Linked DNA regions of Rattus norvegicus. The protein of the gene in region 1 interacts with the protein of each later gene in a biochemical or structural test. Links are inferred from orthologs where the notes say so. Each region holds a gene or a part of one and is shown on either strand. Other genes may lie near its edges. The genes, in order: Insr and Grb10.

What was found.
Region 2: the proteins of Insr (region 1) and Grb10 form a complex in vitro, tested with the Homo sapiens proteins (5 studies listed by BioGRID and IntAct). The link is inferred for Rattus norvegicus from reciprocal best matches to the Homo sapiens genes INSR and GRB10.

Annotation. Positions count from the first base shown.
Region 1 is NC_086030.1:6,125,899-6,130,252, forward strand, and holds the start of Insr (insulin receptor preproprotein), read right to left. Parts: upstream 2,906-4,354; 5' UTR 2,558-2,905; coding exon 2,458-2,557; intron 1-2,457. UniProt on the Homo sapiens protein: Receptor tyrosine kinase which mediates the pleiotropic actions of insulin.
Region 2 is NC_086032.1:90,813,431-90,817,706, forward strand, and holds the start of Grb10 (growth factor receptor-bound protein 10), read right to left. Parts: upstream 2,958-4,276; 5' UTR 2,752-2,957; intron 1-2,751.

The DNA.
Region 1 (4,354 bases):
TCCACTATTTAATTAATTTAATTTAAAAGTAAGGAAACAAGAAACCCAGTAAGCAGCAAGTAACTGCCGTCGTAGGCAAGCGGCCAGTCAGCTACCTTTATAGTCCTGTCCTTTCTTCCCATGCAAAAGCCAGAGGCTCTGAAGAGGTGCGGGAAGGACTCACGAGATCATATTTATTGTCGTTTGGGTCTCCTGTAGCCCAGGCTGGCCTCAAACCCACTACGGAGCCCAGGGTGACCTTGAACCCCTGATAGACCTGCCTATATCTTCAGACTGCTATGATGACAGGCAGACACACGGTTTCTGTGAGTTTAGGGATGAAATCCAGGGACTTCGTGCGCACACGGGGAGCACTACACTCTGGCCATACACCCAGTAGGCTCACTGCACAAGTCCTCTGTGTACCAGTAGGGAACAAACATTTATGTGCACCTACTACGTGTCCAGCACTGCTGAGGTTCTAACATCAGTGAGGAACAAACACCAGGCCCCGTCCTCGCGAACCCTGCAGGTATACAAAGCCACAGAAGCTCTGTTTTCTGAACTCAGGAAATCCAGGCACAGACGAACAATTAATTACCAAAAGAATGTAAAAACAGAACTCAAGGGACGACACTAGGTGCCCGAGTGCACAGCCACACATACAACATACCCCTACTTCCCTAAGGCAATCCCAAAGAGCCCCAGGGAGCAGTGTAGATGTTAACAATTCTTAGATTTCCTTAATGAGAACCCAAACCATGGACTGGGGAGAAGGCTCATTAAGTGAAAACCCTTGCTGCCCAAACATCGGAACCTGAGTTCAGATCCAACCACACACACACATAAAAGCCAGCACTTCAGGACACATCTATAACCCTAGTGACAAAAGGAGGTACGGGAGGGCTGGGGCTCACCGACTACACAGTACAGTCAAATCAGCAAACTCTAGGTTCATTGAGAGACCCTGTCTCAAAACACAAGGTCGAGAGTGACAGAGACAAACACCCAAAGTCAACCTAGGGCGTCTGCAAACACACACACACACACACACACACACACACACACACACACACACACCCCAAATCAATGGCCATCCTTCATTGAGCACCTTCTGTATATCAGATGCTGGGGACCTCATTACCAGGTTAACAGATCCACTCCATAAGCTCAACCCAATCTGTTCCAGAATCCTGCAGTCTCCCCCCTAATACGCACACCTCCCTCATTCACAAAGGAGCTGCAATTCCTTCTCTCCTGGACCCCTTCCTCCTGGTAATTAATTTCCATTTTCAGAGAAAGCTGAACCAGTAACTCAAAAGGCATTTGTCACTGCATTTTTTTTGTTTTTTTTTTTTTTTTTTTTGTTTTTTTTCAAACAGTGCCTAACCTAGCCCAGGCTGGCCTCAAACTCAATCAATAGCTGGGCTTGCCACAAGCAACTGGCTATCCTCCTGCCTTGGCCATAACCAAGCACAGAAGTATAAGACCAGCCTCTGAACGAGTGAGTTTAGCACGCTAACTGAACCTCAGTTTAGCCCTCTGTGAAATGGGTGTGCAACACTTTTGGCCTCAGGGGAACACTGGGAGGTTCTAGGGCAAACCAGCCTGGAGACTCATAATCATTCTAATTATAACCATCCTGAAAGCTACCCCTACTGTTACTATGATTGCTGTGGGGCCAAAGGTATGTAGACTTTGCCTCTAGACATCTGAAAGTAGAAACTTATAAACACGGCAGCCATGAACTTATTATACACAAAGGGTCGCTTCTCCATCGATGAGGATACCCCGGACTTTGCGTTTAAACTGCTCAGGTGTCTGAATCTGTTGCACCCCAGTAACCATACTTACTTAAGGCAACCCCAAAGAGCCTCGGAGGGCAGATTTGGGTTTAGAGAAAAGAACAGACACGACTGAGAGGTGCACTGGGGACAGACAGCGGAAGGCTGGGCGGGCACTGGGGCAAGGTTCCTCAGACCCGAGATGGGCATACGCGGGGTACAGAGCCACAAACCCAGCGGGCAAAGGCCAAGGTCAGCCGGCTTCACGCAGGACCAGGGCCACCAAGCCCACTTTTCCCCCTTCCCCAGGGGAAAGGTAATCACTCACTAGGGAGGGGACTCTTCATAGACACAAGGACACTAGGGGAGTCCTCAACCTAAGTCCTTGGAGAGGGAGGTCTAGGTTGGCCGAGGAAGAGAAATGTCCATAACTCTCAGTCCTTAGGACTATCTTGCTGGGGTGGTGAAATGGGTGCCCTGAGTCCTTTATGGGGGAGTTGGTGCTCTTAAGTTGTATGGAGCGATGGGAAGGGTGTCCATTACTCAGCCCAAAGGGAGAGTTCTCTATGTGGGCTGTGGCAGTGGAGAGGGGGTGTCCTCGACCCTCACTCCTTAGGGTGAGGGCTCTAGGTTAGCTGGGGCGGTGGGAGGAGTGTCCCTGACACACTGTGATCGCCCCGTGTGCCAGACTTACCCTCTCCAGGGTACAGGTGGCCGGCTGTGCCCACCAGCAACGCGGCCACGGCCATCAGCAACGGCACCGCCGTCGTCTCACATCCTCTCCCGGAGCCCATAGCAGTAGGAGCGCTGGGACCCCGGCGATCAGAGCACGCCACGCCGGCCCACTGGGGACATACTCCGCGAGAAGGTCGCTGGAGAGGCAGGCGCTAGGGGCCGCACGTCCTTCTCTTCCACGCCGGTGGCTTACGGGCCGCAGATCTCCAGCCTAGAGGGCCCTGGGGACAGTCCTGGGAAGAGCACACAGGCCTCGGCTGCAAGCAACACTGTGGCGCGGCCCGCAGACTACAACCCCGGGTCACCCAGGCCCGGTCCTGTGTCCGCAATCGCAGAGTCCAGAGCTCACCAAGGTGCGTCCCCTGGCCGGGTCTCCCGTTTCTCCTCTCCGCGCAGCTCTGGGTGGGTCGCGTTGTGTGGAGTCTGAGACAGAGGGACGCGCGCACGGGAGGGCACCTGGGCTGGTGGCGGCGGCGGGAGCTAGGGCTCGACTCCGGCCAGTAAACAACGCGGCCCGTCAGCTGGGCCCGCGCGGGCCAAGGGAAAAGGTGGCGCGGATTAAGGCAGGGAAGGGACTGCGCGCACAAGTGAGGCCCGCTGGGGGGGGGGGGGGTGGGGTAGGGAGAGACAAGCCAGCGGAGCTCTGGGAGGCGTGGCCAGAGCTGGCAATGCCACGCCTTCTCGCCCCTTTGCCCGCTCGCCCAGTCGCCTCTTCGACTCCTCCTGTGGAGCCCCCAACTTCAGAGGCCCGGCGTGCACCCCAGACTCTTCCAATCCACACACCCCGAACTGCCGATTTAGAAAGGTTACGATTTAAAAGCTTGTAAGTGCTGGGTTCGGTCCCCAGCTCCGAAAAAAAGAACCAAAAAAAAAAAAAAAAAAAGCTTGTAAGTGTTCTCAGATACCAGTCTGACATAAACACCCAAACAACTCTGAGACTCCCCTGTCAGACGTCGGGAGCTGCCCCCAAAGAGTTCCAAGGTTCCTATTTAAAAGCCTAGGGAGGGCTGGAGAGATGGCTCAGCCGTTAAAGGCTAGGCTCACAACCAAATATATTAAAGCCTAGGGAGCCCCAGATCCCCTCCTAACGCGAAAACCACTAACAGGCCTGAGGTTCCAATGTAAAAGCCTAGGGACGCCCCCAGGTCACCTCCAGACTGCAGCAAACACAAATAACACCGAGGTTCCAATTTAAAGGTCTGGAGCTCACTCTAGATCTCCTCCTGGTTCGGACACCCCAAATGGTCCCGAAATAACAATTTAAAAGCCTGGAAATGCCCCCCTCAGATTCCTCAGGGCATGAACATCCCAAACAGCTCTATAGCCTCGAGTCTCTGATCACAACGTGGGAGCGCCAATATGCCCCCAGATGCCAGATTCGACCAAGCAGACCTTGACTTTCTTTACTCTTTTTACTACTTTTTGACTCCCGTGGGGAATTCAGTTTAATTCTTTACTCTTGATTCTGTTTCGCTTTACAACCTCTGCTCCTAATGCCTTACTGGATTCTCCCAACCCTTGCTCTGTCTAGGAGCTAGTGGGAGCCCAACAAGTTCCCTCCCCAGTGAGCTCCCGCCCAGCAGCGTGGCTGCACCAGCCTCCAGGCCAGAGCCACGTGTCCACAACGCAGGCAGCCTGTGCTCCCTGGCCTGAGCCCCTCCACCCAGCGCTGAATTCCAGCAGAAATCAATAAAGAAATGACTCCGAGAAGAACATAACAAGGCGTCTAGAACAACGGTAGAAACTTCATATAGGATCAGGGCAGACATATTCCATTTTCAACACACATACCAGTAGGTGGCTGTGTGTCTAAGAAAACAGCCCCGCTCAACCACCTTGAAGAGGAGCTAACCCTG
Region 2 (4,276 bases), on another chromosome or scaffold:
GAGGAGGACTTGGAGCTGGAGTTAAAGCCAAGGCCTCATCATGGCTCTACACTGAGCTGCTTCGTCTGCCCTCCATGTTGTTTTAACGGGCTGAGAAACAGACACTGGATTCTGCACAGGCTTCCCTCCTATTAAGTGCCAACACTGAAATGTCCGGCGGGGAGCACTGAGTCTCCACGGATGGACAACTGCCCCCAGCGCACAGTTGCAAATAGACACGACGGTCCTGTAGTTTCTTACACGTGGAACAAACTTTCAAGCAAATAGGTTCTCTAAATCACACCATCTATAAAATACCAGTTTAAAAAGAAAGATAGGCCAAGCAAAAATCTGTACAGCTCTAAAATGAGCTAAGGGCACATGGATGGCTTGGTTCAACCAAAGTTTGGCTTCGAAACACTGTAAAGCCTGTGACCCAGCGGGTTCAGCCACATCCTAAATTTTGAGCTGGATCTTTGGTTCTGATTTTGTCCTTCTTGCCCAGTGGAGGCTAACTGGACAGACACAGCTGCTCTGGCTTCCAACCATAGCAGTAACCACCACCCAAAGTCCTAGACAATTAGCCACCAAAAAATCTGCCCTGCTTTCTGGTTCCCTAGTCCGCCTACAAAATCCACTTTGACCAACCCAACACTGGTTCAAAAGCAACATAGGCCAAGTAGTGTGTAATAAGTGATTTAGGTGCCACGAAGCGTTTTAACTTTAATCATAATGAACAAAAATATCATATCAAACTCATGGCTTGATGAATATTGAAGTTTCTTCTCAAAGTAAATGAGTATGTAAGTTAAAAAAAAAGAAGAAAAAGAAAAAAGAAAAAAGAAAAACCTCAGTGATAATTGCTTGGTCTACGTGGCATTAATCTGGAAGGCTGGAAGCAACTGGTCTAAGAAACCAGGCCCCGTCCTCCATTTGCTCTGCTGTGTGTTGAGCAGGGTGTCCCTCCTCTACACCATTTCTTCTAGAAGTGGACATGCTTTTGCAGACGGTAAAAAGCTCAGGAGGTCTCCCCAGAGCTTTGTCCTTTGTTAGCTGGTGCGGCCTGAGGCATACCAGTTAACCTCCTGAGCCTTGGTTTCCAGACCTGTAAAATGGGGACCGTGGGGGCCACGAAGCGCATAAAAAGCAACAGGGCTTTTGAAAGCGCCTTGTAAACTGCGAAATGCTACCTCAGTATCAGTGGCTACACTTCTCAGTTACTGCAACGCCTGCTGGGCTGCAACTCCGTCTGTCCTCAAATTCCCTCCCTGTAATGTGGGGACTGGCCTCTTTCAAATGTTCCCAGTAAAACTCAAAAAAAAAAAAAAAAGTATGTTCAGTAATCCTAAAGTTTTGATTTTTTTTAAAGACAAAAATTTGGTAGGCGAGACTCATTCCTGGGAGCACATTTGATCGCAGCACTCTTGGTGAAATAGTTCTAAGACGCCTCATCCATCGCCTTACACAATTCCCTCAGCTGCAGAAATCCAGAACTCGAGGTCCACTTCTGTAAAATAGGAACCTCACTAAAGTGTAAGCCTTAGTCTGTTCTCGAGGGGGTGAGGTGGGGGGGGCGATGTTAACGACTGGAGTTCTGGTAAAGGAGAGCGAAACGTTAAACTGAGCACCATTTCTGAAACTCAGGGGCTCCAAATGGCTGAATCAGCAATTTCTGAAACAAAGTCTTCTGGGCCTGGCCTTTTAAACAGCCGCAAAGGGAAAGTTGTGCAATAACACATATTTACTCACTAATGCTACTTGTTTTGGACTTTTTCTTTGCATCTCTTGAATGAAACAGTTACAAGAAAAGAGTTTTTTCAAAAACATCCCAAAGACCCGGGGCCTTGTAAAAATCACCTGTGGCGCTCCTACTTTTTTGGTTAAAGCAAATGAAAAGAAGTTCGCGGGGTTTCTTCCAATGCCAAGAGAAGGCAAATACAATTTTTTTAAAAAGTGAATACCCTAATTTCCATAACGCACATGCCGCAGGCCCTCGCCAGGCAGGCGTTTGGAGAGGCAATCAGCAAAGGCGGAGAGTTGCATCAGAAATTTCCTTCTGCAAACGGTACCGCTCTTATCACGTTTCCACCGCTGGCGGGCTGCTTTTTCGCGAGCCCTCAAACTTGGTGTTAGGCCCCAGCGACGGGTAGCGGGGCCACTAACAGACCCGAAGAAAGAAAGGGGTGGGGGTTGGGGCACGAGGGGGGGGGGTAGGGACAGATCCTCGGACCGCGGCCCGGGCCGCGCTCGCTTGGGACTTGGGAGTGTCTGGCACCGCTGCCCGGCCCGCCTGGCGCGCGCGCCGAGGCCGGGGGCGCAGCGGGAGTACCCGCCGCTCCGGTGATCCCCGGGCGCCCACCCTCCAGGGCGGTGGCCCCCGAAAGCGCGGCCTTGACCGCGGCCCCCGCCCGAGCCCCCCGAGCCGTCGCCGTCGGACAAGACGGCTCAAGAATGTCCCTCTCGGGGCCCCGAGCCTCCCCCCGGGGGCCAGAGCGCAGTGGAGAGCGTCGCGGGGCGCCGCAGCCGCGCGCCCGCCGTCCCGTCCCGCCATCCCGCGCCGTCCCGCCGCGGGCCGGGGGCGCCGCAGCCCCTCAGTCCCTTAGCCCCCCGAGGCGACGCCCTTCCGCCCGCCGCGCCTCGCGGGGCCCCGCGTCCCGTTCGCGGGCGGCCCCGAGCGCAGACAATGACGGCGCGGGGAGCCGCCCGGCCGCCGGGCCCCGCGAGGCGCGGACCACAAAAGTAACTTGCCGCCGCTCCCCGCCCAACTCCTACCTGGCGTGCAGCTCCTCGTCGCCTCCGCGTGGCCGCTGGCCACACGTTGCACGAGTCCCTGCGAAAAAGCCGAAGGCAAAGACGGACACTGGACGGTCCCAGTCGCCGTGCGTGAGACGGTGCGCGGAAACTTCGTGCTCCCGTGGGTCTCGGAACGCGAATCCCGCCCGCCACTGGTCGCAGCGCCCTTCTCTTCCTGCCGCCTCCCCGCACCCCACCCCCTCGATGGGCTTTAAACTCTCCGGGCCCCGCCCGCCCTCCCCGCCTCCGCCACCGCCTCCGCCTCCTCCTCCCCCGGCCGCTTTTCCTGCTCCTCCTCCCGCCGCCGCCCGGACCGCTCGGCGGCCGCCAGCGCGGGAGGAGCCGCGGCCTGGGCGCAGGGCGTGGCGCGGGGGGCGCGGGCTCAGCGGCCGCGGGGTTGGCGTGGCACGATGCTCTCCCGCCCAGGCCGGCGCGCGCCCACCATGCTCGCAGCTTGCGGGACCCCCGGCGCCACGCCACCGCCCCGGTGCGCGGCCGCGCCGGCGAAGACCGACCGGACCTGTCCCGAAGGGCCATTCGGAAGGGAATTGTTCGAAACTCAGAAAGTACTCCCCAACCGCACAGTTCAAATTCTTCCTGGGCTGCGGCCGCCCGACACCGTCGTGGGCAGCCCCGGGCCCGGACAAGGAAACTCGGGCTTGCTCACGGCGGGTCGGTCCGAGCCTCACCTTTCTCAGCCTCAGTTTCGCCAGCTGCGTGTGAGTAGCCGAAGGAGGGAAGCCTGAGAGGCCCTTCATTGTTTCTTGAGGCAGCCTAGCAAGCCTCGTGTCCTTTACCTCTGAAGTGGGGCCCTCCTGAAAGTAAAGCCCAGACGGGCCGTGCCCGGTTTCTAAAGTGACCCACGAAAAGGCAACAGGGCTTATGTGATCGGCCCCTTCGAAATAATTCTTAATGTCTATATTGTGTCGCTTTTCTAGCACAGATAGGATACCAATAATTACACCTTTTTCTTGAGTTTCGGCTTGGTAAAAGCAGCCCCAACCGTAAATCACCGTAGTCGAGAAGACACGTGGTGTGAAACATTCGTGAGTTCTCCTACTTCTCCCTCACTCAAACTTCTGAGGTTGTTTCTAGAGCAACTGTAGAGAAGTAGAGAGACTGAGTCTCTTAAGAAGTAACTTCTAGAAGGTTGAGAAGCTGGGAGGGAGCTCAGGGCAAGGATTTGAAAGCTGTGCTGTGCACGTATTGTCCCGACGCGCTTTTTGAGAGCACTGCTCTGGTACCTCTTGCTTCTAACCGTGGTTTTTCCGACCTCAGATTGATGTAATCAATGAAAAGTTTTCCCTTTCTTATAACTGAACACTCACTCCTGTTTCTGGCCGTTGGTCCAGACTCAGAAACCCACAAGGTGAAAATCCAGAGGAAAGGATGTGAAATAAGTCTTCGATTCCCCGGGAAAGGAACACAAGAAGTCTTTTGTAGACAAAGGACTCAAAAGCGAACCAAAGCAGAGAAAACTGGGCTAACTTTTCCCAAGTTGATT